Nothobranchius furzeri: one gene and its partners. The protein of the gene in region 3 purifies or fractionates together with the protein of the main gene of each other region. This does not show direct contact. Links are inferred from orthologs where the notes say so. Each region holds a gene or a part of one and is shown on either strand. Other genes may lie near its edges.

Evidence for each region.
Region 1: the proteins of pds5a (region 3) and cdca5 purify together in Homo sapiens (affinity purification with mass spectrometry; 4 studies listed by BioGRID and IntAct, with this or other methods). This does not show direct contact. The link is inferred for Nothobranchius furzeri from reciprocal best matches to the Homo sapiens genes PDS5A and CDCA5.
Region 2: the proteins of pds5a (region 3) and smc3 purify together in Homo sapiens (affinity purification with western blotting; 8 studies listed by BioGRID and IntAct, with this or other methods). This does not show direct contact. The link is inferred for Nothobranchius furzeri from reciprocal best matches to the Homo sapiens genes PDS5A and SMC3.
Region 4: the proteins of pds5a (region 3) and wapla purify together in Homo sapiens (affinity purification with mass spectrometry; 6 studies listed by BioGRID and IntAct, with this or other methods). This does not show direct contact. The link is inferred for Nothobranchius furzeri from reciprocal best matches to the Homo sapiens genes PDS5A and WAPL.

The regions. Positions count from the first base shown.
Region 1 is NC_091759.1:26,794,669-26,801,639, reverse strand, and holds cdca5 (sororin), read left to right. Parts: upstream 1-2,771; coding exon 2,772-3,524; 3' UTR 3,525-3,966; downstream 3,967-6,971. UniProt on the Homo sapiens protein: Regulator of sister chromatid cohesion in mitosis stabilizing cohesin complex association with chromatin. May antagonize the action of WAPL which stimulates cohesin dissociation from chromatin.
Region 2 is NC_091744.1:4,681,365-4,688,666, forward strand, and holds part of smc3 (structural maintenance of chromosomes protein 3), read right to left. Parts: intron 6,542-7,302; coding exon 6,366-6,541; intron 5,787-6,365; coding exon 5,706-5,786; intron 5,362-5,705; coding exon 5,197-5,361; intron 2,031-5,196; coding exon 1,909-2,030; intron 1,605-1,908; coding exon 1,391-1,604; intron 1,187-1,390; coding exon 1,083-1,186; intron 1-1,082. UniProt on the Homo sapiens protein: Central component of cohesin, a complex required for chromosome cohesion during the cell cycle. The cohesin complex may form a large proteinaceous ring within which sister chromatids can be trapped.
Region 3 is NC_091747.1:79,465,358-79,472,659, reverse strand, and holds part of pds5a (sister chromatid cohesion protein PDS5 homolog A), read left to right. Parts: intron 1-1; coding exon 2-141; intron 142-643; coding exon 644-759; intron 760-1,135; coding exon 1,136-1,241; intron 1,242-1,317; coding exon 1,318-1,478; intron 1,479-1,648; coding exon 1,649-1,772; intron 1,773-1,883; coding exon 1,884-2,042; intron 2,043-2,278; coding exon 2,279-2,347; intron 2,348-2,449; coding exon 2,450-2,586; intron 2,587-2,675; coding exon 2,676-2,799; intron 2,800-3,018; coding exon 3,019-3,223; intron 3,224-3,299; coding exon 3,300-3,414; intron 3,415-3,547; coding exon 3,548-3,680; intron 3,681-3,837; coding exon 3,838-3,957; intron 3,958-4,161; coding exon 4,162-4,224; intron 4,225-5,094; coding exon 5,095-5,228; intron 5,229-5,315; coding exon of another isoform or gene 5,316-5,565; exon of another isoform or gene 5,566-5,675; intron 5,676-6,512; coding exon 6,513-6,582; intron 6,583-6,669; coding exon 6,670-6,929; intron 6,930-7,302. UniProt on the Homo sapiens protein: Probable regulator of sister chromatid cohesion in mitosis which may stabilize cohesin complex association with chromatin. May couple sister chromatid cohesion during mitosis to DNA replication.
Region 4 is NC_091752.1:29,578,708-29,586,714, reverse strand, and holds the start of wapla (wings apart-like protein homolog), read right to left. Parts: upstream 4,772-8,007; 5' UTR 4,559-4,771; intron 3,598-4,558; 5' UTR 3,572-3,597; coding exon 3,184-3,571; intron 2,559-3,183; coding exon 1,856-2,558; intron 1,721-1,855; coding exon 1,419-1,720; intron 1,345-1,418; coding exon 1,214-1,344; intron 6-1,213; coding exon 1-5. UniProt on the Homo sapiens protein: Regulator of sister chromatid cohesion in mitosis which negatively regulates cohesin association with chromatin. Involved in both sister chromatid cohesion during interphase and sister-chromatid resolution during early stages of mitosis.

The DNA of each region.
Region 1 (6,971 bases), on a different chromosome or scaffold from region 3:
ACCCTCAGAGCTGTCATGGTCCCTGACTGGAGCAGCCGTGCTACAGAGGCGTGCCTTGGTGTCTCCTGCTATCTCCTGAGTTATGATTGGAAGATGAAGCGCTTCAACCTGGCCACCATGCCTCTTGTGAACAAGTCATGTTTGGTTTTAGGTGCCTAGCTCCGCCTGACTGCAGCATTTGTATTAACTCGTTCACTGCCACTGACGACTAAAGACGTCATATGCATGTTTTTAGTGTGTGGGCGTCGGACGAGCCCCCGCGCCGAGAGAACAAACATCTCAGCTCTAAAGCCGATCTTCATCCGCATACGTCACGTGATCAAGAAGCAGAAAATCCTTGTGTCAGGAGATCGTTTTGGGCCGTTCCTGTAAAAAAAGTGAGGCGCGAAGCGGAAAAGCGTCTGCCGTCCACAATTCCACAACAGATTATGAAAGAACGCAGGGTTCCCCCAGCGCTTTAGAAGCCCGGCGGCCCGCCAGGCTAAGCGTCAGGCCCCGCCCCTACCGTGTCCGCTGACACGAACGGCGCAACACAACTAAAGCCCTCCATCAGCTGATACTGGTAAGAAACAGCAGCGGAACGTTGCTTTTTATCACACGGCGTTATAAATCCAGCGGGGCGAACTCTGCCAGTGTCGGCCAATGAGGAAGACGGGGACAGATGTGATGTGTTTACTATGGATGGACACTTCACCATGGAGGACGTGTGGTACTGTCCACTGTAGATGATTATTTACAATATTACTGCTCCAACGTTAGATGACGTGTTAACATTAGTTTCTTTAGTGCGAGCGTCACTGTTGAGTGATACCTTGTGTGAACCCGGTGTGAGAGCAGCGGCTGAACCGTGACACCACCACCAGCAGGATCCGGACTTCTTAAAGTGTAAAGTGAAACGACGTTTTAAACAGTTATGAAGCCAGCTAGGTGAGTTTCGGCAAAGTCTGCACCTTGTTTCCACCGGCTAACGGCCGCAGACGGAACTTCAGCTAACGTCTGTAAGCGGTTAACACGGAGCTTTAGTAAAGGCCACTCTCGCTGAGCCCCACCCAGGTGCGCCACTTCTTCTGTAACCAAACTGGGCTTGGACCAGTAGAAGGAACGCTAAATGTGGCAACAAACAACTACAATGAAACACAATTTCAGGCTCCACATTTCCCCTTGTTTAGTACTCGTGTCGCTCACTGTTCACGTGCTTTTGCAGACCAATATGGTCGACTCACGTGATTAGGTGGCGTTGGTGCAAAGGGTCAATAGAAAACAAGTAAATGTTACACCGTTGGTCGGCTAAAACAGGTCATCAACAACAAGTCCCAATCCAACAGGATTTACTGCTGAAAACATGTCACACAAAGTTTTCAGCTTCCTCCTACTAGCGCAGCGCTGGGCAACATGCCGTTTCTAAAACATGGACAGAAACCTGGTTCAACAGCCAGCGGTTTAGCCGACTCATCGCTGGAGTCAAGAAAAACCGGGATTTTCACCCCAGCGGTAAAAATCGTACTTTTACAGATTATTATAATTACAGTTGTTTAAAGCGGTGGTGCAGAATACCAACCCTGCTCCGGAGATAATCTGCAAGGTTCTTCCGTGTGAAGTTTGCTGCTGCTGTTGGACTGAGTTCATAACCTAAAACCAGGAAACAAGCATCAGTAATTGTTGGTGACAAACGGTGAAACTAAGGAAGAGCGCCACAACCACATCATACCATTTCTCATCTTGTACAGCTGAACGTTCTTCTGGATGTACTCCGCGAACTGCACCGTGTCTCCGGCCTCTCCGACACACAGCAGCAGGATCTTTTCACTCAGCTTGAACATTTTGTCATAATCTGAGACACCAAAGAACAAAACTCAGTGTGAAAGTCATCCTCTGAAAAAAGCCAGATGTCAGCACCAGTCGCCCCAAAAACAGAAACCAGGTCCGGATTCAGGCGAGTGATGAGAAAACATCACTTTGAAAAAGAACCAGGAGGTTGGACTGAAGCATCCCTTCAGATCAGATTCATTTACATCTAACTTTAAACAACGATCAGTAACACATGTGCACTGTTTTAGATCAGAACCAGTTTGATTTGGTTTCTGTTGAACACAACCGGACTTTCACTTTCACCGCCGGGGTCGCTCACCACGAGATTTAGCAGGCTAGAATAAAGCATATAAACATCCTAAAGCTCAGAACTAAACTCAGAAGCTAAGTTTGATTTCTAAAAGGCTCATCGTACCTCTCATTGGCCGGTAATGGCTTTATTGTCTTACTTTTTAATCTCCTTTGGCAAATAAAATGTGACAAATGGTCATTAATGCGTTAGAATGAAACAGCAAATCCTAAAATATAAAGACTTATACGCAGACACGCGTCTGACAAACAGAAACAGAATCAAATGAGAGAAGAGCTAATGCTAAGCTAGGTAGCTAACACACCGTGTTTCATCTGAATGATGCTGCTGGCGGCCACATTATCGGCTGCGACGAGAACGAAATCCGGTCCCTGTATACCGATTAAATATTCCATCGTCTCCAACCGAACCAACACGGAATAACGGTGAAAATCAGGTGAGACAGCAGTCAAGTATGAGCGTCAAGCGTCCGGATTACACAGCAAAAACTTTGCTCTTCCACTGGCGCGGCTTGTTAGAGTCACGATGATGTTGTCGTCATCACCGTGCGACTCGAGCGGGTAATTTCGAAAGTGGCGCCGTTGTTTGAGCAACCGGAGGAGATTCAATCGAAACCGAGTGAATAATTCGCTGTTAGTGGGCAGATTTCAGCATGGACGAAGGCTCGCCTCATGGGGCGATGGCGGGAGCTAACGGTCCTCTCGGGCCGCAGCGAAGACGCTCGCCGCGGTTCAGTTCTCCGCAAGCTCCGCTGGGAGGTGAGAAGATGGCGCTGGGAATTAAACGCTCCATCACCGTGCGGAAAATAGCGCCCAGAAAAACGAGCGCTTCGTCTAAACACAACAAGGAGAACACGCCGAGGCACTCCGAGCAGGTACAGCAGCTGAAGACCAAAGTCTCAACCCCCGATCCCGGCCCGGACCGCAGGGCCTCCTCCTCCGCCGCGAGGAAGAAGCAGCAGGCGCCCATGCCCTCACGGATCCTCCCGTCCTCCCCACCGGACTCCTGTCGGACCCAGCAGCCGGCTGCTGAACCAGAGGCCGGCGTGTGTGCGCAGAAAGCCCGCCGGTCCTATAGCAGGCTCAGCGACAGTTCCCTCCACAGTAGCCCCGACTCCAGAGAAACGTTATTCGGCTTCGAGAGGCTGAGGACCCCGGAGGTTGTCCGGAAGTCCAAGCAGACCAGGGACGCTCTGGAAGTTTCTGGACCCATCACGTCTTTCACTGAATCGACCGACGAGGGCTTTGCTGAACCGGACCCGAACATCCCCGGAGTGTCGGTGTCAAAGGAGCGGAGGAGGAGGCGGAAGGTGCCGCAGATTGACTCGGCCGAGCTGGACCATCTGGCCGCTCAGATGAACGCGGAGTTCCGGGAGGCCGAGGAGTTCGAGTTGGTGGTGGAGTAGAACCGAACCCACCAGAACCAGCGTATGGATCTTTGACTGGAGGGGTGGTGGGGGTGTAAATACGTCCGGGACTCTTGATGGATTGTATATGTAGCTCGTGAAGGTTTTTTTCTCTACACCATCATGGTTCGGTCCATTTGGACTTCCTGTGTCGGCTCTGTAGCTTGAGAGTTCTGGATAAATCAAAACGGACTTTGTTCTGGTTAAGCGGTTCTGATCAGATCCCAGACCGGTTCTGATGCAGTATTCTTTACTGAATAAACCAGAGAAACAACACGAGCCCAGTAGAACCGAACCAGAACCAGAACGTCTCTGCTGACAGAGTTGAACTGACTTCAGGTTAAAGCTGCTTTTCTGGCTTTGTGGAGTTTTTTGTTGGACTTTTCCAGGTTTTCCTGTCAGTTTTCCTTTCTGCTTCCTAATAAACCCACACTGAAGCAAGCACCCTGCCTGTTGACCTGTTCACACGTCACTTCAGATTAGAGTTAATCTGGGCTACAGTTAACCTGGGTTATAGTTAATCTGGGCTACAGTTAACCTGGGTTATAGTTAGTCTGGGCTACAGTTAACCTGGGTTATAGTTAGTCTGGGCTACAGTTAACCTGGGTTATAGTTAGTCTGGGCTACAGTTAACCTGGGTTATAGTTAATCTGGGCTACAGTTAGTCTGGGTTAGTGTTAAACACAAACAACAACATTGACCATGATCACACATTTACTGTGTTTAAAACCAAACTTCAGACCAGAACACACGATTGGTCACACACTCCATGACATCAGCACTTTACCTGACAGCATTAATTTAAATATAAACAACCCTGGTACTGATGAAAGGGTGAATGTAGATAACACATTTACTGTAATTCACATCATTGTGTCTCTCAGTGAACACCTGGTCCGTTCAGAGGACTTAATCCAGCGCTTTACTATGAATGAATGAATTTAGGTAGAAACCAACAGCTGACCTCGGTTAACAGAGGCTGAAGCTAAAGACAAGATTCAAACCCTAAAACACCGTGTGTGTGTGATATGGACAGCAATTACATCAGACAAACCAGATGCATGGTTTCAGTGTGTTAGCATGAATGCTAATTTGCAGCACTTGTCCACAGACACCTTTTGTAAAAGGTAGAACACATTTAAATAATCAAATCAAAGAAAAACAATTAAAATTACAAACATTTTCTAAAAATAAAAGGCTACTTAAAGAGCAAGTCACCCCCAAATCAACTTTTTTTGCTGATAAACTAAATAAACGAGTGTCTAATCGTGCTGCAGACACGTGTCGTCAATAATTTGGCACTTCAGTGCATCTTAGTTAAAATTTAAATATTCTACCTAAAACTGGCAGTGTTGTGCCATCGTCAGGTAAAAACTGCACTGCATTTGAATTTAAATCTGCCACCGCTATTGGCTAAGAGGTATGCTATGATGTAAACTGGTACATTATGATGTCACAATGCCATTGTGAGCCTGAGTGTGTGTGTATTTGTTGGCGGCTCCACCCTCTCGGTCTGCTAGGCAACAGCATGTGTTGCATTTTTCAAACATGAAGTGGGAGTGAAGTAAGTTTCTTGTGGGGGGGTGACTTGCTCTTTAAACAGCAGATTAAACGAGTTTAAAACTATTCATGTGGACATTGTTCTTTAGACTTTAGCCTTTTTTTGAGTCCTTTGTTAGAAACATACTCTCAGCGGGTAGGGAGTTTAGTTTTAGCTCAGCGGGTAGGGAGTTTAGTTTTAGCTCAGCGGGTAGGGAGTTTAGTTTTAGCTCAGCGGGTAGGGAGTTTAGTTTTAGCTCAGCGGGTAGGGAGTTTAGTGTTAGCTCAGCGGGTAGGGAGTTTAGTTTTAGCTCAGCGGGTAGGGAGTTTAGTTTTAGCTCAGCGGGTAGGGAGTTTAGTTTTAGCTCAGCGGGTAGGGAGTTTAGTTTTAGCTCAGCGGGTAGGGAGTTTAGTTTTAGCTCAGCGGGTAGGGAGTTTAGTTTTAGCTCAGCGGGTAGGGAGTTTAGTGTTAGCTCAGCGGGTAGGGAGTTTAGTGTTAGCTCAGCGGGTAGGGAGTTTAGTTTTAGCTCAGCGGGTAGGGAGTTTAGTTTTAGCTCAGCGGGTAGGTAGTTTAGTTTTAGCTCAGCGGGTAGGGAGTTTAGTTTTAGCTCAGCGGGTAGGGAGTTTAGTTTTAGCTCAGCGGGTAGGGAGTTTAGTTTTAGCTGAGCGGGTAGGGAGTTTAGTTTTAGCTCAGTGGGTAGGGAGTTTAGTTTTAGCTGAGCGGGTAGGGAGTTTAGTTTTAGCTGAGCGGGTAGGGAGTTTAGTTTTAGCTGAGCGGGTAGGGAGTTTAGTTTTAGCTCAGCGGGTAGGGAGTTTAGTGTTAGCTGAGCGGGTAGGGAGTTTAGTTTTAGCTCAGCGGGTAGGGAGTTTAGTTTTAGCTCAGCGGGTAGGGAGTTTAGTTTTAGCTCAGCGGGTAGGGAGTTTAGTTTTAGCTCAGCGGGTAGGGAGTTTAGTTTTAGCTCAGCGGGTAGGGAGTTTAGTTTTAGCTCAGCGGGTAGGGAGTTTAGTTTTAGCTCAGCGGGTAGGGAGTTTAGTTTTAGCTGAGCTGGTAGGGAGTTTAGTGTTAGCTCAGCGGGTAGGGAGTTTAGTTTTAGCTCAGCGGGTAGGGAGTTTAGTTTTAGCTCAGCGGGTAGGGAGTTTAGTGTTAGCTCAGCGGGTAGGGAGTTTAGTTTTAGCTGAGCGGGTAGGGAGTTTAGTTTTAGCTCAGCGGGTAGGGAGTTTAGTTTTAGCTCAGCGGGTAGGGAGTTTAGTTTTAGCTCAGCGGGTAGGGAGTTTAGTTTTAGCTGAGCGGGTAGGGAGTTTAGTTTTAGCTGAGCGGGTAGGGAGTTTAGTGTGAGCTGAGCGGGTAGGGAGTTTAGTTTTAGCTCAGCGGGTAGGGAGTTTAGTTTTAGCTGAGCGGGTAGGGAGTTTAGTTTTAGCTGAGCGGGTAGGGAGTTTAGTTTTAGCTCAGCTGGTAGGGAGTTTAGTTTTAGCTCAGCGGGTAGGGAGTTTAGTTTTAGCTCAGCGGGTAGGGAGTTTAGTTTTAGCTCAGCGGGTAGGGAGTTTAGTTTTAGCTGAGCGGGTAGGGAGTTTAGTTTTAGCTGAGCGGGTAGGGAGTTTAGTTTTAGCTCAGCTGGTAGGGAGTTTAGTTTTAGCTCAGCGGGTAGGGAGTTTAGTTTTAGCTCAGCGGGTAGGGAGTTTAGTTTTAGCTCAGCGGGTAGGGAGTTTAGTTTTAGCTCAGCGGGTAGGGAGTTTAGTTTTAGCTCAGCGGGTAGGGAGTTTAGTTTTAGCTGAGCTGGTAGGGAGTTTAGTGTTAGCTCAGCGGGTAGGGAGTTTAGTTTTAGCTCAGCGAGTAGGGAGTTTAGTTTTAGCTCAGCGGGTAGGGAGTTTAGTGTTAGCTCAGCGGGTAGGGAGTTTAGTTTTAGCTGA
Region 2 (7,302 bases), on a different chromosome or scaffold from region 3:
CTGTCTGTGTGCAGCACCGAGTCCCCCCCCCGACCCAGTGGCCAGATATAAACAAACGCATCTGCTGAACTTTAACTCCGTAATGTAAACTTTAATTCCTGCAGCGTAGAGGAAACATGTTAAATACATCAACACGGTGGATTTAATAGAAGTTTTAAAGAACAAACTCTGGACGGTGTGAGGTGAGTTTGTCTCACTGCAGAAATAAAAACACACACGGAGCGTCAGCAGTCAGACGCAGCCGCTCACCAACACTCGTGTGTGTGTGTGTGTGCGTGTGTGTGTGAGCGTCAGAAGGCTGAACAATAACCAGTAGAATAAGTCATCATGCTAGAGCAGCTTCTCTGTGGTGGACCACACCAGCTTCTGCCACAATAAATAATTATAATAATAATAAATAAAAAAATTTATTTCCTTTCTGAACTATTTCTGTTGCGTTTTAATGTTTAAAATCTGTTAGATTGTTACTGACAGCAGCTACATTTAAGTTTCACTTTCTGTTCTGACTGAATGCTGCTGCAGGTAGGAAAACAGCTGGATGTTCCTGGACACGTTGGAGACATTTAGCCTCTCATCCCAGACGCTTCTTCCAGACTTTGGTTGTGGTCAGAAACAAACACACTGGTTGTGCTGCAAGTCTTTTTCTTCCCTCCAAAACACGTTTCTGTCTAAATGAAGGTGATGTTATTGTTCATAGAATTAAAACTCATGTTGAAGTTAAGATTATTTCATCAAGTAGGACCTGTGGTTAGCTGGCTCATGTAAAACATGGAATGTCTTGAAAGAATCGGAATCGGGAATCGATAGGAACCGGAATCGAAACGGGGAATTGGAATTGGAATCGTTCAAAATCAAACGATGCCCAACCCTATTTGTAAATTGAGGAAAAAATGTATGCCCTTGTGTATTAAGTATGTCAGACAACATTTTACTTTTGGGTTGAATATCCCTTTAAATGTGCTCTTAAACTCTCAGTCACGGGTTTACAGGAGAAATTCAGGTAGACAGGAACTGCCTCATACACCGAGTCAACGACGGTTATTTATAAAATCTGACGTTAAGGTAAATATGAGGTGACTTACTTTCTTTCGCTTTGGAGTTCATCTTTTTTGTTCTTCACTTCGTAATATTTTTTGTCCAGCTCCTCGACGCGGGTTTTGACCTCATTCAGATCTTGATCAAGTTTCTGAAGTCACAAGTAAAAAGTGGGTCAGACAAAGTTGAACCAGAAAAACTAGAGAATATTTTAGCATTTTGAATCAATACAAATGAACAATCTTGGTGTCTGTTTAAGCTACATGAAGCTGATTAAAAGGCACAAGTAGGACAAAGGGTGATTGGTTTAGTGTTTTAGAACCAAAATGATCCAGGAACAGTCGAGTCGTCTTACATTGTACTGCTCAAGGTTCTTCTCCTTGTTCATCTCCGTGTCCTCCAGGTCTTTGTGGATGGCTGCGATCTGCCTTTTTTTGTCATTGATGGCCTGGTCCAGAGACTTCAGCTCCTTCTTGATCCACTTGTCCCTCTCCTCCTTGGAGGTGAACTGACTGCCACGACCCTGCTTAGCATACAGGTCGGTCCTCTCTTGTGTAGCTTGAGCCAGTCTGAGAAGAACCACATCCAAAGCTGTTCATAGACATTTGACAGCAACAATCCTTCCCAATCAGGATATTTATCCTTGAGAGTTAAGCTAATTAATTCTGTATGATATGGAACTATACACATGAATAAACAAGAACATTCTTGTGTTTGAGCTTTTGAAGTGAAAACACTTAAAACAAAAATCGCATTACTTGCATTTAAAACATGAAAACAGGACACTTTGCAGAAGATTAGTCAAATCTGATGCTCCAGTGTGATGACTGACTCATCAAGTGTGCCGTGTAGATAAGAATGACTCATCCCTACCTGGAGATGCCGCGCTCCTCCTTTTCCTTCACCATGTTGAATTTGGGTTCAGTCTCCTGCAACTCTTTTTGCTTCTCCTCAATTTTCTCCAGCAGTTTCTGACGCTCCTTCAGCAGTCGTTTCTGAAAGAACAGGAGAGCTTTAGCAAATGTTTGGCCAACAAAACAGAAGATGCGTAATGTGCCAAGTTAGTAAAGTGTAAGCTGTCTGCATCACTAGAATACACTCATAATGCCCCGCTCACCGCAGACTGCTCTTCCCTCCACATCCAATAACATTTGAAATGAGTCAATGAGAGCTTATAGATGGTAAATAACTGATGGACCAGCAAAGAAAAACTACATTTTATTTAGATTAATTTAGTTTTTGCAAGAAAATCATGAAAGAAAGTGCACCTATCTGCAAAAAGGAGCATGTTTTATAGTAAGGGCATTATTTGTGCTTGGAGAAGTGCACGCGCACACACACACACACACACACACACACACACACACACATGCACACACACAAATAATTATTTTCCATATCATCCACACCGACCCTGCTCCAGTAAAAATATATTTTTTCCCCTTTCCTGGATCAACCACTTCAAAGTTGATCAAACATACAACTAGAGCGGCCTTTCCTTTTGCCCTGGCGCCTTTTGGCGAGTGTTGGGTCAGCCATGGCCAGGTGGGCTTAATCCAACCACCAGCCAGCAGGCTGCCTGTGACCCAACATAGTTCATACACAGACTGAGCCAAGAAAACCTTTGATTATGGTCTTTGTACTCACACGTGCTCACAGACATTAAACACAAGGCCATATGGACACCGAGCTCAGCCAACTGAGTACATAAAAACAGAAGCCAAGAAGGATGGACGGTGAAGCTGATGGAGATGATTCATTTTACATCCTAAGTCATCACACGGGGATTCTCACTTTTTGACTGAAAAAGATACACAGACACTTTTTATCAAGCAGCAACGTCTAAACCAGGGGTCGGCAACCTTTCCCCATCAAAGAGACATTATTACCCATTTCCCACAGTAAAGAAAACACTGGGAGCCGCAGCGTTGTGGGCGGGGCCTACCCTCTGACAGCAGAGAACTGCTTTAACCGATCACAACAGGTGACAGCAACCAATACCAGTCGCTCATGTGCCTCAAAGTTATCTTTCAACAGAAGATAATTAATAAAACAGTTTGTATAAAATTGATCCAAAAGTTGAAGCCCGTCTGTGCTACAATATTTCGATTTTTTTCACCCTGCTAGTGGTTTTAATAGTTGAGCAGGTGACGCTTTTTGAGGCATCACACATCAGGGTTTCCCTTACATAGGCGTAGCCGTGGCGGCCCGCCACAGCTGAAATCCCACCGCCACGCCTACAAGATCCCAAGTTTGTTTTTTTTTGCGCCGTTTCCCGAAGAAGCAGCAGGAACTACTATGTTGTTGCTTGTGATCACAGCCGGCGGGCAGCAAGGAGGAGCAGGCAGGGCAAGGTGAAGTTACAGCATAAGTTACTGAGTTTAAAATTAGAATGGTAGCAGTGGATATAATGCTTTTTGGTTTACATGTTTCAATAGCATTAAGATAAACGAGTGTTGACGATCTTGACAGGGTTTCCTCCCCCCACCAGGCTAAGCATCACTTATTCATGTAAAATTGATTTATTTTTTCATGTCTGACTTTAACCGCATCTAATACTGTATTACGGCGTGAGCGCAACAGCGACAACTTAAGATCGATGTGTGAGCAGCCTGGGAGGTCAAGTGTTTTCATCTGAACCCTTAAAACCTCCAGCAGGCTACGTTGCACTATTGACGTGTTAGCGTGCGGCGCTAACAACTTAGCGACGTGACATGTCTCGGAGAAAGCGTAAAAACACGTTGGACGCTTCTTCTGAAGCAGGAAAATAACACTTCTTCTTAAGCAGAGCACGACGTCGCCTCGGCTCGTTCACGGCCGAGCCGGACTGAGCTCGATAACATTGACTCAGCACAGTCACTGGGTCGTTGGAGCTGCCCCGTGACTGCCTGATGGAAAACCAGCGGGTTTCATCAGACTTGTAAAGTTTCTTGTTTTTGCTGGGGACCCCCTGTATTTTACCGCTCCCTCCTGCAGTCTTCCCCTGTTAACATTTAAAATGATTCTGTAAATTACGTGTATCAATAGAAAAAATCTCTACCTCTGCCAGCTGCAGCAAATGTAGTCTCCAAATAATAAATAAGAGGTGCATTCATCTGTGTATCTCCTTTGATCTGCATTAGTGATGTTCTCAGCACCAGAACAGTGAAGCAAAGAAACAGATTCCTGAGTTCGTTAGTAATTTTATTTATTAGATGCATCTGACCTGTTCTATTTTTCTCTGAAATGAGATCAAATCAGTGCTTCTATGGGTTGTCTCCACACTGTACTAGAAAATTTTACTTTAATTAGAGACGTGTCATAATTCCTCCCCATGCCGGGCACGGGCAATAAGCTTTGCTTTTTGAACAAAATCAGCTGAGAAGGCAAACTGGAGCGTTGCAGCACTCCGTGAGCGTCTCTCTGTTAGAGCAGAAGCTCAGATCATCAGAGACTGCACAGGGACTGATGGGGACAGACATCTTTACGGGCGACTTGTTAAAAAACTTTAACGATCTTTTTATAATATATATTATATAATCTTTTATACAAAGGACACAATTGCGCCACATTACCGCCACGGTCTGACAACTTAACCTAAGGCTCCCTGATGCCAACACAGCGCTGCGGCAAATTGACAGAATTGTTTTGTAAAAACGGCTAGAGTATTTGTTTTATGTTTCACTGGGTTGTTAACAAGCAAATGCCAACCCTAATTTCCAACTTGTCTCAGCCATAATCATAAAAAGCCCGCATGTGCATAACCACCTCCTCTGCAGAGGCAGCTGAAGCACAGCAGAGAGGGAGGGGATAAGCATCATATGAACAATAATCGCCTTTTTCTAAAAAAAACTGATGCCTTACCTAAACTCAGCCACCTCCCTTCTAAGGTTTAACGTGTTCATCTGGTCTTGTTTTTAAATCACCTTAACAATTCATTCATTTAGAAGGCGGTAAACTACATTAATTTCACCACTATAAGTTACGGTGCTCATTCTAAACCTTTTATTAGCCTCTCAACAAACTGAAAGCTAATCTATGATAAGCAGCTGCTGGGGTGAAAATGTGCTTGGAAAGAGTAAAGACTGCAGACTCAGTAATAGTGAAGAGGATGGAGGAGAGGGGAGCGGTGTTGGTGCATCATCACGTGTGGAGCGTGACGCAGATCCGAGGCTTCCGTACCCTCTGTTCGCTGTTGCCTGCCAGCTCATCCTGCAGGTCCTTGGCCTTCAACTCCAGCTTGGTCCTCTGCTTGATCTGCTCTTGGCGCTCTGCTGATAGCTGCTCTCTCTCCTCCTTCATAGCGGAGATTTTGGACTTCAGCTCACGCACAACGCGCTCCGTCTCCTAAAACACGGCAACCAAAAGTTTAAAAGGGACAGGTTTCTTCACAAAACAAGCAGAAAAGAAAACGCCTACAAAGAATTGTGGGAGACATATTTACTTTCCACATAACCAAATACTAACAGCTACATGTAACAAAGTATGTAAATTATTGTAGTTTTATTTTTTATTAATGCTAAAATAATTCAAACTGAGAACCAACTAAATAATCAATAGTTTTACTGAGTAAACAAAAACATGTTTAAAGGACGACTGCTGCAGTTATTTTCCTTATCTTTCCTCCATCAGCTCAAAACTCCACTTATGCATCCTAATATTAATAACAGTGTGAGATTTTTCTCTTTTACCTCCACTTTGTCTCGAGCGTCTTGCTGAGCGTCTCGCAGCTGTCTGGATTTGTCTCCACATGTCTCTCTCTTGCTGGACAACTGGAGAAAACCCAAACAAAACACAAGTCTTAGAATAGAATCAATAAAAGCTAAATCAGTAAGTTCTGTAAACAGTTCCATCACTACCTTGATTCTTTGTTATTTTTTTTAAATAATTTGTCTTTTCTTTGTTCTTGTGAAGCGTCTCAGGAATATGGAGAGGAGCGATTACAGAAATCAGTTCTTCCTCTTCAACGTTTAGCTACTAAAACTTAACTATAACATTAAAGTTCAGTAGATGATATGAATATCTTCTACAATGGAAATGTTGTTTTTGCTCATTTATCATCTTTACAACCCTCTAAAACAGGGGTCACCAACCTAGGTGAAGCTGAGAGCTACTTCACAATTATCGAGCCGTTGGAAGGGCAACCAGGCTGATGCAATAGTGACATTTGAACTAGAACAGATCAGCGTTAAGCTAAACATCATGTTTAATAAATAGACTTTTAAATTTCTATTAATGCATTTGTGATTATAAATGATGGCAGCAGAAGCCATTTGGAGAAAAGGCCTGTGGGCACCTCATCTAGTACCTAGGGGCACCAGGTGGGTGACCCCCGCTCTAAACCACATTACCTCGTCCAGTTTTGCTCGAGTTTCGTTCAGCTCCTGGTTGTAGATGGTGTACTCCAGAGCTCTTCTCATCTTGTCCCACTTCTGATACTGAGCCAGCTCTTCCTTCTCGTCCTCCAGGGTGTGTAGACGTTCCTCGATGTACTTCAACAGCTCGTTGATCTTTTCTCGTTTCCCCTCTGTGGAATACACAAATTAGGGACGTCTTTGGAAATGTTTTTTTAAATGTACTAATGGCATGCTAGCTAACCTTAGGAATTTTATAACAACAACAACAACAATAATAAATGTTCACTGCCGTGCACTTCTGTTATGTGGAACTATAACTAGAATATTAAAAAATAACAACAGACATGTTATCTTGCAATCACAAGACAACAGTATCCATCTTAGAGCTGCAGCTATCGAATATTTTTGTAATCGAGTACTCTATCGAATCTATAATCGATTAATCGAGTACTCTAATAAATTACCCTTTTGCGTTTGTAAACCATTACATATCAAATAGCATGTTATAAAATATGAAAGACCTCTTGAAATGAGAAAGCAATTGCCAGTTATTCTTCAAGTTTTATTCAAAATTCGTTTTCAAAACTTCAGCACTTCAACTTCACAGTAAACAAATGCGAGCGGCTGCGGCCCAAACAGCACCAGAACCGCTCACGGCGCATGCGCGAACATGGCTCGCCAGCTATTTCCCTATTAACACACGTCCGTTTTAATTTCTACACTTTTTTTCTCACACTAACAAGGATTGTCGAGAAAGCATGTTTGCCGTGGTTTTGTCAAATTACGCTGATCACACAACATTTATTTACTTTCTTTCGTTTTCCTCCGCCACTCTCATAAATACCTGTGTCCTCCTGCAGCAATCCCGAGGGACAACGGACATCAGTAACAACACAGTAAAAAGTCAGACGTGTTGTAAAAACTGCTATTT
Region 3 (7,302 bases):
GAGAACCTACCAGATGCTGGGAAGGCCCAGGACTTCATGAAGAAGTTCAATCAGGTTCTCAGTGAGGATGAGAAGCTCAGAGTCCAGCTGGAGATGCTGATCAGTCCAACCTGCTCCTGCAAACAGGCCGAGATCTGTGTGGTGAGACGAGGCTCTCTAGCTGTGGATTACATCCAATTCAACGTGCACAAAGCAGAAACCTAATTCAGATTCTGAGTTTCATAGGTCAAGTTTTTTTTTATCATGCAATAATTAGTATGAATGCTTACAGGGGGTACGAAAAGAATTCAGACCCCAATCAAGTTTTCACTCTTTGTTATATTGCAGCCATTTGCTTAAATCTGTTAAATAAATTATTTTCCTCATTTATGTGCACACAACACCCCATATTGACAGAAAAACACAGAATATTAGACATTTCTGCAGATTTATAAAAAAAAAATAAACCTGAAATATCACATGGTCTTAAGTATTCAGACCCTTTACTCAGGATTTAGTAGAAGCACCCTTTGACCTAGTACAGCCGTGAGTCTTCCTGGTAAAGATGCATCAAGTTTCTTACACCTGGATTTGGGGATCTTCTGCCATTGAATACTTTCTGTACCCGCTGTATATTTACTGTTTCCTATTTCTACTTGTGCAGAGGGAGATTACTCGTAAGCTGACATTCCCCAAACAGCCCACCAACCCTTTCCTGGAGATGGTAAAGTTCCTGCTGGAGCGGATCGCACCGGTTCACATCGACTCCGAGGCAATCAGGTCGGAGAAAATCCTCAAAGATTAAGACAACAATACTAGAACTGGCTTGTTTTATGTTGCGGTGATTTTAAGTTTTTTAATTTTATTGAGGTGAACATTTTTTATTTAAATGTGTTTTTAAATTCTAGTTTTAGTTTTCAATCACAGAAAAGAGAAACTGTGTCTTCAGGTTTCTGAACCTGAGTGCTTAATGTGTGTGTGTGTGTGGTTGCATAACACTGAGCTATCATCATTCACTGAGCCACCTAGCGGTGGTCATGTGCAACTGCAACTCCAGTCTCCGCTCCTCTTTAACCCTTTCATCTTTTTGGGAAACCACACTAATAAATGAGTCCAGACACACGTGTGGATTAGGGATGTTGTGTTTTTGGTTCAGTGCTCTGGTGAAGCTGCTAAACAAATCCATCGAGGGAACAGCGGATGATGACGAGGAAGGCGTCACCCCTGATACAGCCATCCGCTCCGGACTGGAGCTACTCAAGGTTTGATCGAAACCAGAGAAAACCTTGAAATGGCCCTTTACAGTTGGATAATTAATGAGTTTCCCTCTGCTTTCAGGTCCTGTCATTTACACACCCCACAGCCTTTCACTCGGCTGAGACCTACGAGTCACTGCTGCAGTGTCTAAAGATGGAGGATGACAAAGTGGCAGAAGCAGCCATCCAGATTTTCAGGAATACCGGGCAGAAGATTGAGACAGAGCTGCAACAGATTCGATCGTAAGAAGATGGATGCGTTGATCCTTTCATGTGTTTGTGTTCTAAATAATTGACGCTTAGTTGGATTTGACACAGGTTTCCTCAGTTTGACAAGATTGTCCATTAAAAGAACATTAAGATGCCTCTGTGAGAATGAACATGTAAATGAAAGATTTCCTGTTGTTCTTCAGGACACTGATTCCCATCCTGCACCAGAAGGCCAAACGAGGAACACCTCACCAGGCCAAGCAGGCGGTCCACTGTATCCATGCTATTTTCAACAACAAGGAAGTGCAACTGGCACAGATTTTTGAAGTAGGGAATAATTTCATGTTGGTCTGTAGGGATCAAACTTTTCATGTTAAGTGTTTTTATTGGTGTCACCAGACCGTTTATGTGTCAGGATGTGTTCATCTTCCTCCACAGCCTCTGTCACACAGTCTGAACGCCGACGTCCCGGAGCAGCTCATCACTCCTCTCGTCTCCCTGGGCCATATAGCCATGCTGGCTCCAGATCAGTTTGCATCACCGATGAAATCCATTGTGGCTAACTTCATCGTGAAAGACTTGCTCATGAATGACAGGGTGTGTGCAGCAGCCATCCTTTCACCTAAATCAGGAGTCACACACACACACAAGGCATCAGGAGTCACTTTTTTTTTTTTTACCTGTCTGGCCCGTTTAGCTTTAAGCTTTAGCATCTTTTTTTAAGTTGTTACAAACTGCATTTTACTGGGCAAATACATACAGCTGTAAATAAATGACATGTGTGTTTGTTTACATAAAGAAAGCAAAGATGTGGTTTATCTCTGTGTCTTCAGTCAGTGGGAAACAAGAACGGGAAGCTATGGACCGCTGATGAGGAAGTTTCTCCTGAGGTCTTAGCAAAGGTACCTGATTACAGATTGCTGTTTGGGCCCTTTTTAAAATATTAACAAACAGATGTTAAGTGTCACAAGAAACAAAAGACACGTTTCCCCTCTGTCCTCCAGGTCCATGCCATCAAGCTTTTGGTGCGCTGGTTACTGGGAATGAAGAACAACCAATCCAAATCGGCGAACTCCACCCTGCGCCTGCTGTCGGCGATGCTCGTCAGCGAGGGAGACCTGACGGAGCAGAAGAAAATCAGGTAGCTCAGCTGAGCTCTCAGTCACGTGTGGCAGCCATCATTCCCCATGAGACTCCAGACTTTAGCTGCTTCTGTCCTCTTTCTCCCAGTAAATCGGACATGTCTCGTCTGAGGCTGGCTGCTGGGGCGGCCATCATGAAGCTGGCGCAGGAACAATGTTACCATGAAATCATCACACCAGAACAGTTTCAGCTCTGCGGCCTCGTCATCAATGTCAGCGTCACTTTTACAAATATTTTTCATTCCGTAGTTTATTGGACTCTAGCGTTCTTAAAACGTAAACAACCAAGTGATGGATGCATCTTAAGGCATGCTGAATCATTTCACACAAGTCCCACAATGTGCTGTGAAAACAACTTTCTTACAGCCAGATGTCTAAAACATGAGCTCCATGTGAGCAGTTGGTCTCATGAGCATCTTAACTCTCCACAGGACGAGTGCTACCAGGTTCGTCAGATCTTTGCACAGAAGTTGCACGTAGCTCTGGTCAAGCTGCTGCTGCCCCTGGAGTACTTGGCCGTTTTTGCTCTGTGTGCCAAGGACCCGGTGAAGGAGCGGCGGGCCCACGCCCGACAGTGCCTCCTCAAGAATATCTCCGTCCGCAGAGAGTACATCAAGCAGAACCCCGTCACTCAGGGTCTGTGGTCATAATTCATAATTCAGCTGATGTCTCTGGTTGTTCTCATTAAAAGGAATTTTCATTTTCCCACCAGAAAAACTCATCTCCCTTCTTCCTGAATACGTGGTTCCTTACATGATCCACCTGCTGGCCCACGACCCAGACTTCACCAAACCGCATGAATACGAACAGCTGAAAGACATTAAAGAGTGAGTGTGTGTTGTGTTTGTGTCGAGCTGAACGTGTGTGTTTCAAACACGGCTTTTTTTGTTGTGAATCCTGAAAACCAGACAAATGTGGTTTAGCTACAGCTTGAATCCTTTTACGCTTTGCTTTCTTCAGGTGCCTGTGGTTCATGTTAGAAGTCCTGATGACCAAGAATGAGAACAACAGCCACGCTTTCCTTCGGAAGATGGTCGAGAACATCAAGCAGACAAAGGACGCTCAGTGTCCTGAGGATGTGAAGGCCAATGAGGTGTTTGGCACATGTGACGTTAAAAGATTTAATCTGGTGTTGTAACGGGCAAGCAGAATGTGGAAGTCTGACATTTAACACATCCATTTTTGTGAAAGCAGGAAGTTGATTTGTTTACTTTCAAATGATTCTTACCGGGAATCTTGTGACCTTACAGAAACTGTACATCGTCTGTGACGTTGCACTATTCGTCATCGCTAACAAGAGCACCGCGTGTCACCTGGACTGCCAGAAAGAGCCAGTCTTACCCTCAAAGTTCTTCCTTGTACAGGACAAGGTCATACCACACACACACACACACACACACAGAGATGTACATTATATAGTGTGCTCATAATGTTTTGGGACCTTAAGCCATTTCTAACACTAAATGCATGTTGTCATAACATTTCAAATCCTAGTGTGTGCGTGTGCGTGCTTGTACGTGTGTGTAAATAGATGGAGAGAGAGAAAATAATGATTTTGTAATTTTCCTTGTCAGGATTTCAAAAACGATAAGGAGTACCTCACGGCAGAGATGAGACAGATGCTGCTCACTGGAAAGGTAAACGATCAACACTGGAGTGTAAATCTTGACACGAGTTACTCTAGTTTTCAACTTATGGGAAGTTTAATTTGGAATAGCTCGGCAGCAGTAGTTCAGGAGGTTGAGCGGGTTGTCAAGTAATCAGGCTCCTGTCAGAGAATGCTGCTGTTGTGTCCCTGGGCAAGGCACTTAACCCTCCTTGCCTGTAGGTGGTGGTTAGAGGGACCGGTGACGCCTATGTTTGGCAGTCTTGCTTCTGTCATTGCGTCCCAAGGCAGTTGTGGCTACATTGTAGCTCATCATCTCTCTCTGTGTGTGTGTGTGTGTGTGTGTGTGTGTGTGTGTGTGTGTGTGTGTGTGTGTGTGTGTGTGTGTGTGTGTGTGTGTGTGTGTGTGTGTGTGTGTGTGTGTGTCACTCTAGTTTATCATCTCAGCTGGTTCTGATTACAAAAAGGAAACTTGTTGCCGTGTTTACTTTATTTTTTAAATAGTTGCAGGCCGGAGCACGGCTGCAACTCCCCACTCCTCCCTCTGTTGCACCAAGGCGTAATATGCGTTCACAAGTCTGGCATTGCGGTAATATGATTACCAAGCATGGCGGCATGAATGCCACAAAACTCCCGCTACGCCATGCCGCCACGTCACATGCATGACACGCCGTGGCGGCAGTGTTATGCGGATTTGCCGGCATGGTGTCTTCTAAAAAGGACTTCAGATTGATAGGTTGTGAGATGGAAAACATTTGCAACAGCACTGTTTTGTTAGGTGAATATTTACTGTGGGGTGCTTGTTTTAAATTGGAACCGGTAAACTTTGACAGAATTATATTTGAAACAAAAACCAATGATGCATTTTAAAAGTTTGGTTTTAATGTTTTTTATCCTGCAGCCAAAACCAGCTCCAGTGTTGGCCGCTGTCAACAAACCTCTGACAGTACCAGGGCGGAGGATCTTCAAGACCCCCACAGCTTCTGACACATCCAGTAATACAAGCACCAACGCCTCTCCTATCATCAAGAATAGGTAAGCACACACACACACGCACACACACACACACCCACCACCTTTGCCTAACCAGAACTGCCCAGTGCTGTCCTCTTGGTCCACCAGGCAATCCCTCCTGTTGGTGCAATTTTCAAACAGGAAGTGTGAGTGGAGTTGGATTCTGGTAGGGGGTGATTTGCTCTTTAAGCTCAAAACCAGTGGATTGTCAGACTTCGCACCTACAACACTGAGTGCATATCCATGTCTTCAACCAACCACTTACCACCACAGCACTGTAAATTATCAGACCGACACTACTGACATAGGGAGAACCACACCACCCATCTTATGGAGGACAGACTCGAAGCTTTGTTAAACTTACCACTTCGCTCAACTGTGGCACCACTCATTGTCAGTTTCACATGGACAGTTACGAGAGAGAGAGAGAGAGAGAGAGAGAGAGAGAGAGAGAGAGAGAGAGAGAGAGAGAGAGAGAGAGAGAGAGAGAGAGAGAGAGAGAGAGAGAGAGAGAGAGAGAGAGAGAGAGAGAGAGAGAGAGAGAGAGAGAGAGAGAGAGAGAGAGAGAGAGAGAGAGAGAGAGAGAGAGAGAGAGAGAGAGAGAGAGAGAGAGAGAGAGAGAGAGAGAGAGAGAGAGAGAGAGAGAGAGAGAGAGAGAGAGAGAGAGAGAGAGAGAGAGAGAGAGAGAGAGAGAGAGAGAGAGAGAGAGAGAGAGAGAGAGAGAGAGAGAGAGAGAGAGAGAGAGAGAGAGAGAGAGAGAGAGAGAGAGAGAGAGACCCTCATATTTGTCTCTGTTCTCTCTGATTTCAATAATCTCTTGGTCTCCAGTATTATGATTTTGACTACAACACTATTAATTCTTTTTCTGTCTTTCCAATTGATCAATCAAACCCAATTATTATGCAAAAAGAAAGCTGGGATGCTTAAAATTGGCTTTTTACCAGTGCACCCTAAATATTATAAGACTCTTAAATTATGATACCGTTATGAACAGAGATCTTTTATATAGCGCCTCTCAACATAACGATCATGAGGCGCTTCATGAAAACAAAAAAATTAAGATATTAATATTTCTAAAAATGATAAAAAATGATCATCTACCTGATGTGATGACTTATACAAAAGCAGTTTTTCTACTGTTTGTATTATTTTGACCAAAATAACAATCCCGGGCAAGCCCTCAATTTTTCACGCCTGGCTCTGGTGTCCACGACTAAAATTACAACATTCAATCAAACTGTTGAATCAAGCTGTTGATAGCTCAGTCATAAAACTATTTGTTTCATTTACTTTGTTTTACAACAGCACTACTACAGAATCATCAGAGAGTCGAGCGCAGGAGAACAACGAGAACCCGGTCATCAAAAACGAAGAGGTGAAAAAGATAAACGCAGATGGGTGCAAAATATTTCCTAACTTCACTCCTCGTTCTCCTAACTCGACATTTGTCGTTGTCATTCAGGATGCATCCGATCAGAAATCAACCCCCGACACTGGGACCGATGGGTCACCTGTCAAACGGCGTGGCCGGCCTCCTAAAGCTGTGGCTGCTGCTTCTGCAGGAGCAGAAAAAGAGGGCACGGTGCCGTCAGCGGGGGCTGGAGGTGGCCGAGGAAGGAAGAGAGCAACTGATGCGTCTGCAGACCCCCTCAACATCAAGATGTCAAAACAGCAGCTGCAGCAGAACGATGAAGGGACAAAGAGACAGATTGATCTGCAGAGGTAAAAGTGCAAAATGCCGGATCTCAGCAGCTTGAATTGTTGTTTCTCAGCAGATGATTCTTTATAAGCAAACAGGCGTGCCTGAAAAAGAGAAGGGATTGGAGGATTTTCCAACTTCAGCTCAGTGGAACAAAACTTTTAAGGGCAGTTTTAATATCTAACTGAAATCTAAGCTTGACATAGACAGGAAGTAAGAGGGTCTTTTGTTTTCTGCAGCCTCTACTAGGGCCAGATTTTAATCACAATTACCATCTGGGTTTTGAACAATAACAAAACGAGCTGATTATTTGTTCCTCCCTCATGTGCTGCTCTGAGTTGCAAATCAAGCGCATCTCCCACAGTGTTACCAAATGTGTCGCTTTTCATATCCCCC
Region 4 (8,007 bases), on a different chromosome or scaffold from region 3:
GGGGACTGGAACACAGGAAGAATTAAACTGTTAGTTTGACAGAAATGCAGCCTCAAAACGAACACCATGGTCCTATTTACACAACCAATAACAACTTTCATCACTGAAATTTAAACAACCAGCTGCATAACGAACATAAATAAAACCCCTCATTGTTCATTTGTACTTGTAAAAACAGAATGGAGGTGGTTAGGTTACAGTTCATGCAGATGATCCTATGCTGTTGATAAACTGGGACAAGTAGCACCAACATTTCCTGTAGCAGACACAATGTGTGACTAAAGCACATATTACAGACAATGGAGAAAGTTCAGCTGTAGGAAAGTGTAACCACACAGAAATAAGCGAAAAAAATAAATACACCCAATGCTGCAGCAAAGCACTGTTCATAAGGAAAAAAGAAATGTGGGATGAAAACATCACAAACATCAGAGGAATTGGATTAAAGCAGGCCTGAGAACAGCCACGTGTGTGTGTGTGTGTGTGTGTGTGTGTGTGTGTGTGTGTGTGTGTGTGTGTGTGTGTGTGTGTGTGTGTGTGTGTGTGTGTGTGTGTGTGTGTGTGTGTTGTAGTGTAGTTACAACTTCCAAAACTGCAACAATAACCGATTTTTAAAAATCATGGACTTTGAATGGACTTTGTCAGATTAAAGTCAGCCTATACAACTCGATTTTTTTCTGTAATTTTCTTGAGCCAATATGTGCCAAAATGAACCTTTACATGGTTAATGAAAAGACCCCCACTGCCCTCTGTGGCCAGAATATCGCACTTGCAACTTCAGAGAGGCAGGCTGTTCCCTGTTGGACTTAGTAAAGTGAAGCTGACATGCCAACGCTGCAGTCTGCTTCCAGCATGTTTCCTGCATGTTTTAGATCATGAACACGGCTGATTTTTTTCATTTAGTGATAAATCACTCCTGTAGAAACTAATGAAGTCTGAGGAGACATTTCAGCGGTTAGATTAGGTTGTTAAAAAGACAAACACACAACAAGGAGATCAGTTTGCCTTTTGATTTCCTTAACAAACACTAGGTGGTGCTAAAGCAACCCAAAACTGCACAGTATCCCTTTCATTCAACACGTAAATATGAGATTGATTAGATGAAATGAAGTCCAAATGGACTATGGCTGCTCAGTATTGTAATCTGGTACCTTAATCTGATTACAAACAATTCAAAGAAATTTGGAACAAAAAAAATAAAAAAAAAAAATACCTTTTTGGGTCCACTAAATATCTTTTTTAACCCACAGATGGAATCCTTGGATTTGTCACCCGCCTTCGTCGGTCGTCCTTTCGGTCCATCGACGCCAGCGGGGCTGGAGTCGTCAGAGAACTCAAAAGCATCTACTTGACACATCCCAGGGAGTTATTTATAAAACTCAGTGATCTCAAAAGTAGATAACTTTTCATCTGCTCACCTGTGTTGCTGCTGGCTTGACTGTCCTGAGAATCACTCGTGTGAGGACTGTCCACCCCGGAGCTCAGGGAAGCTAAAGCTGCCTTCTTGGCCCTTTTCTCTTTGACCTGAGAGCTCTCGTCATCGCTGTCGCTCTCGCTCAGGTCATCAAAGCCAAAATACTTGATCTTGTAGCTGCTCTTTCCTGGCATTCCACTCTCCGAGCTCTCCTCTTCCTGCTCACCATCTTCCGCCTCAAAGCCAAAGAACTCCAGTTTTGTCTCCGTTTTAGTCTTTTTTACCTTTGCTTGGGTGGGTCTAAACCTAAAAGGATTAATTTATTAACAACAGTAAATTTAGAAATAAAGTATTTGTCCAATCTCTTTGAAACAGACTGAATACTAACATCACAACTTTATGAATCATTTTAAAATGCTGACAGATAAAAACACATCTTACCGAGTAGATTTAGGTGGCTGTGCATCAGACTTCTTCTTCATAAGCCCTGCTTCTCCAAGGTCAGCGGGGGTAGCCGGGGGGACTAACTCATCAACGCTCCGCTCAATTGAGTCCTGGATAGTAACGTTGCACACTGACACGCAGGAGGGATGCAGAACTGTGTAGTCTCGCACCCTCCCACCACCTCTGCCTGCAGGCTTAGCTGCTGTTTTAACACTGGCAGCAGTATTAGTTGCACTAGCAGAAAGGACACTGTTGGTTTTATCTTGAACACTCGCTATGTCGGTCAGCTTCTCGTTGTCGTTTTCAGCAACTTCAGATAGAATTTTATCAGGCCGACTGGGCCGCTGGTATTTCTTGCAGTTTGAGGCTCTTAGAGTGAATGGCGATGGGGGAATGTTGTCTACTGGCTCTGGTGGAGGCTCCATGGGCACCACCATCTTTAGTTCCTCTGATAAAGATCCATCACAGGAGGAAGGAGTTTGAAAGTGTTTGCTACCTCCTGGCGCATCAGCTGACAGTTTGAGGGAGGAGTCTAAACCAGAAGTAGAGGAAGCAGCTGTCTGCGACACGGAGATGTTCTGGTTTTGAGAAAGAACCGTGTCTGAAAACGAGGTCGGGCATGCTGGTTTCTGATTGCTTTCTAATGCACTTTTGTACCAGGGCTGGTTGTTTTTAACATTCTTCTCTGATGGTTGGTTACCTAAAAGTGTAAAGAAATTTATGAGTGATCATAGTAAAAGACCAGGACTAGAGGCAGACTGATATGTTTATATTTATCTAAAGCTGATTATTAAGGCTGATATATGTATGTGTATATATATATATATATATATATATATATATATATATATATATATATATATATATATATATATATATGTATATATATATATATATATATATATAGATATATATGTATATATACACGTTTTAGCAGCACAATGATTGTGAAAGACACCTGAACATTCACTGTGTGCAATATATAATACTCTCAATATTTATTGAACTTCAAATACAAAACAAACTCAAAATATTAAAAAAAAAATTAATAAATAAGTGTGTTGGGGTCCTTTCTTCAGCCTAGTAGTGGCAGTAGTTGGCCACACAGGTGCCTGATTGTTTTTTTGTTGGCTTTTAAAAATAGTTTCGGCTAATGGCCGATACAGTACAGAAAAAATTTAATATATTGGCCCGATATATAGTTTGGTCTCGAACCAGAACTGATAATATAGAAGTCACAACTGAGTGTAAGAATTGGAATAAAAAATAGAGACAAAGATAGTGAAAAGAAAATGATGCAACATAAAACATTTTTTGTCACTCACTTGCGAATGTAGCAGGTATACTTGCAGAGCCTTGTGTGGCAGTCACAACAGCAGCAGTTACTCTACTTTGCACTTGAGCAGTTTCTGTCACCCCCTCCTCTATGAGTTTCGCACCAGACTCACTGTGAGAGGCTACAGTTTTAGACTCTTCATCGCTGTCAAACCCAAATGGGTCTTCTTCATTGTCACTGTCCTCAAGCCTGGGTCTCTTTGAGACCTCAGGGACACCGGGTTTTAAGAGAGGCCTTTTGGTTCCCAGCTGAGCCTTGTATGTAGTTTCTCCCCATTTGGTGGACAGAGAGGGCTTTTTATTGGAAAAGACTTCTTCAAACTTTGAATTTGCCTCCCCTCCCTTGCGGTTGTATGTTTTACCAAATCTTGATGTCATGCTGGTTGTTGTTTGTTACATATTCTCTGTAAATAAAGGTAAAGACCATTCAATATTTAACACATGCATTAAGTTAACAACATGATCATTTGAACCTTCACATACAAGCACATCTAAAAGAACAAAAATGATCTTAGATGTTTTTAAATTAAGTTTATGAAAAAAGCTGCATGTGTCACAAGATGCTTACTAGTTTCTTTTTCCAAATAATGTTCAGACTTCAGCTGTTATCTCAAACTTTTTCTTACTCTGGTTAAAACTGGGGTCATTTATGCGTTGAGGGTAAATTAAAACACATTTTACAAACTATAAACAACTAGACTTTTATTTATAGAGAGAATTACCTAAATGTCAACAATCGATCCATTCGTTCTTTGACTTTCTCACAAAAAACTACCCGGTCTTGTTCGTTATCTTATTCTGAAGGTCCTAATGGGATTTCAATGTATATGTCCTAGATAAGTTTTATAACAAGACACTTCAGAAATCGATATATTTACTAATGTTATTGATTTTACTTGCTAACCGACAGGTAAAAAAATATATACACTTAAAATGCTTTCAAAATATTGCCTGCAAGTTTTAGTTGAGTCAACTGATAGTTGCTAGCATACAAAGTTAGCATTGCTAGCTCTAGCTTCGAATGTCGTTTGTCTAGGTTACACGAGAGAAAAAGGATTTTGATAAACTTTCATTAAACTTGGGAGTTAAATACACGGCCTTTTGTCACACATTAGCCGTGTAGGTAACTTGTCTCTGCCTGATAACTAGTTAGGCATGCATGTAAAGTTAACTACTGTGAAGTTAGCTATTAGCTTCCGCACAGCTAACTACGCTAACCTGACTCTTGTTTACATTTCTAACATGGCTCCATTTTAAGCATGAAACTCCGTATTTCAAACACGACCAAGCACCCATAAGGTAGCTTTTAGTATTGGCATCTAATATGATATTCAGTATAAAGCAAAAGCAAAGAAGACTTTCTACCTTTCAACTCCAGCTAATCGTCTCGTCTCCAGACAGCCGGCGAGGCCTAACCAGCTACTCACGCACAAATCAAGCGGGTAAAGTCCGTTCAGAGCAACGGAAAAGGCACTACAAACACATTTCTAATTTAATGATGTTTTAGATGTTGCGTTTATTGCGAAAGAAAGGCGTTCTAAAATGTATAGGAAGCTGTACTTGTCTAAATATAGCTGATAATCCGGAGTTTTTGTATTTTTTAAGTGCAAGTGACGGCCATTAAAATATCCCCTCCCTCCTCGATGGTTGGAAAGACATCCTAATCACGTACTACATTGTTGAAAAAAAACTGTCCAATCAGCAGCAGGAACACTCCCCTGTGCCTCGAGACTGTGTCAACATACGCGTCTCTGATTGGTTTAAATTTTAAAGTAAAACCAGGCTGACAGGGGGCGCTGCAGGATCACGTTCAGTTTTAAAGTTGGACACCGTGCCGAGTAATGCAGGTAACGATGCTACATGCAGAAAATTGCTAAATTGGGGTTTAAAGCTTGCAAATGGTTTTAAACCATGGTGATTTTACTCTATGGTAGATGTTTTTTTCAAATATTATTAATGATGAACTATTGCCCACCTAGGGTTGTAAAACAGCAGTCAAAAGAGTAAGTGTTGGTTACCTAAAGTTCTTTGATTGTTTTGTTTACCAAAATGCAAGTCATTCACCAGAACCACTCTGTAGGGGGCACAACTGGAATATAAATACAACTTAAGCCCTGGGTCAGCAAGACAAAGTGGTCACAACTACATCAACACTAAAATGACCATCACTCATCCTAGACATACATGATAACTCCTTCAGGTCACAGGTCCTCTGTGGAAACGACTCAGAAAGAAGGTGATTCTAATTTCACATGAGCGCCGTTCAAAAAGTTATTTAGGACTTAAAGTTGTATTATTCCTCACATGAAGAAAAATAAATAATGCATTTTCTGTATATGAAAGATAAATATGTTGTGGGATCTCTGTTGTCCCCCAGAAGCGAATGTGCACATTAAAGTGGCAACACCTTTTTAAGGTGTCTGGTTTCCAGAAGAGTCATAGATCACAGTTTGACCAAAGATTTTCTCAGTCACAGAATTGTTTTTGTAACTGTCCAACATTTACTAAAAACATTGCTGTATCCAAACGGTGTTAGATTCACATATTTCTGGCATTTGTCTACAGCTAGACCCAGAGAGGAGCTGTCAGTTCACATCAGGGTCCCAGAGATGGTGATGCAATACAGACATGGCATGTATAATGAACTCGTGGTTTGGCAGTCTGGCAGTTATGACTTTATTTGGAGGAAAGCTTGAGTCCAGTTTTTAAAATGTGTGTGATAATCTGAATATTTTGTAGGCTTTGATCAAATAAGTCAGGGATCTGTGCCACGGTAAAGCCAAATAACAGAGTTTAGTGTCTGCTCCAACCTTTTGAGACTGAATCAAGATCCGTAAAATCGACAATTGCAACTCTGAGACAGAACCAGCAGATGGCAGCAATACTAACGGTTTCTCATGTATAAGCTGAGCATTTTCCCCTATTTAGTGTCTACTTAGGCTGCATTTCATGTTCTGCTTCTGTTTCCAAATACCTAAACTCATCTAGTGCATATTGCATTGTAAAAAAAAAAAAAAGAATGTCCAGTGAATTCCAAAAATAATATCTGGTCATTAATCATGGAAGCTAACCATCAACGGAAAGCCCCTCTCTGTAGTAAAGCTTCCAAATGGAAACAAAAAGATGGATGACCGTCCAATGGTTGTTAAGAGACTTGGTCTGCAGCTCAAATGTGAAAACTGGGAAGCAAACTGCTGAATCCTACCAAATTTCCTCCATTTGCTTTTAACCAAGATGTTTAAATGCACTCAGTTTTGGCTTGCTTTTAGCACCCCCTAGTGTCCATTTGTAGAACCAAAAACAAAACATACCTCCTTGCTATGCATTCGCCTTTTTAACACCTTAATCTAACAGCTGACATGTCTCCCCAGCTTTTATTAGTGTATATAGAAGTGATTCATCAATAAATTAAATCAGCTGTGTTCATGATTAAATCATGCAGGAAACATTCTGGAACCAGACTGCAGCGCCAGGTATGTCAGTTCCTTTTTCTTAGGCCCTGTCTACACGTAGCCGGGGATCTGCCAAAACTTAGATATTATTCTACATTTTGGCTTGTCATCCACACGAAAACGGATCTTTTTAAAAACTCCGGCCAAAGTGAAGATCTGCGTTTTCTCCGTTTTGGGTGTCTGCGTGTGGACAGACAAAACCGGAGTTTTAAGCTCCGCAACGTCACTTTCCGGGACAAAAAAATGCTGACATCACGTGTGCAACCTGTGCTTACACTAGCCGACAGCATGGATGCCCTCAGAGCTGCGCTCGCTTTATCAATTGTCCAAGCGCTTTTTGCTTGTTTGTTTTTGCAAGCGGAATTACTGCTCCTTGCGGAAGACCACAGACGAAGGACGAGGTTAAGAACGGGGGAAGTACTGCCGCCTACAGGTCTGGCATGTCCTTAACAACGTATTTATCCGGGTACGTGTGGACAGAGTTTGTTTTTAAAACGCGGTGGTGTGGATGCAAGTTTTTGGAGGGGCGGATATTCGTTTAAAAAAAAATGGCTACGTGTGGACTAGGCCCAAGTCCCAACAGACCTGACCGGCACTCTGGAGTTGCAAGTGTGATATTCTGGCCACAGGGGGTGATGGGGGCTGTGTGGTCTTTCATGAAAAAAGATCATAGAGTATAAAAAGGGTCATTTTAGCACATACTCTCTCAAGAAAATGATTTAAATATATAAAAACGTTGTAAAGTATATCTTTAAAGAGTGGAAGTTTCAAACCAGACACAATACATCTGATTAGTTAAAAATAAATGAAAAGAAAAGCTCCTGAAGGATTTTACTCAAAGGAGTCTATAAAGCTGTTTGTGCAGTCTGTGCTGGTCTCCATAGTTCTCCACAAGGATTGCTTTATCATCTTTTTCCAACATTTATGTGGTGAACAAATCTCTTTTACAAAGAATCGAGCGTGTTTATCCAAACCCCACATCTGCATCGAGGGTCAGATCTCCGTTTGGCTCACGCTTCTGTCTCTGAGGTCAGCCTGCACAGCCCCTGGCTCAACAACACCAGACTGCTATCAAGCCCATATGAAGGCAATAAAAACAAATTCAAAACAGATTCCAATTGGCCTCCAGCCCCCTTCCTCTGTGTGTATTACACATGAACGCTGCACGTGCAAAGATAATATTGATACGATCAGCTTGGGTGCCGTTTCTCTAACACTCAACGGAGAGAATTGAAGTGAAAAAGAATTGAAGACTTGCATATGGAAAAATGTAGGTTTTATTTATTTTTGTCAGTAATACATCACATAATTAACAAAAATGTTGTTCAGTACTTTTAAAAAGAGGGATTCAAAGAAACAATC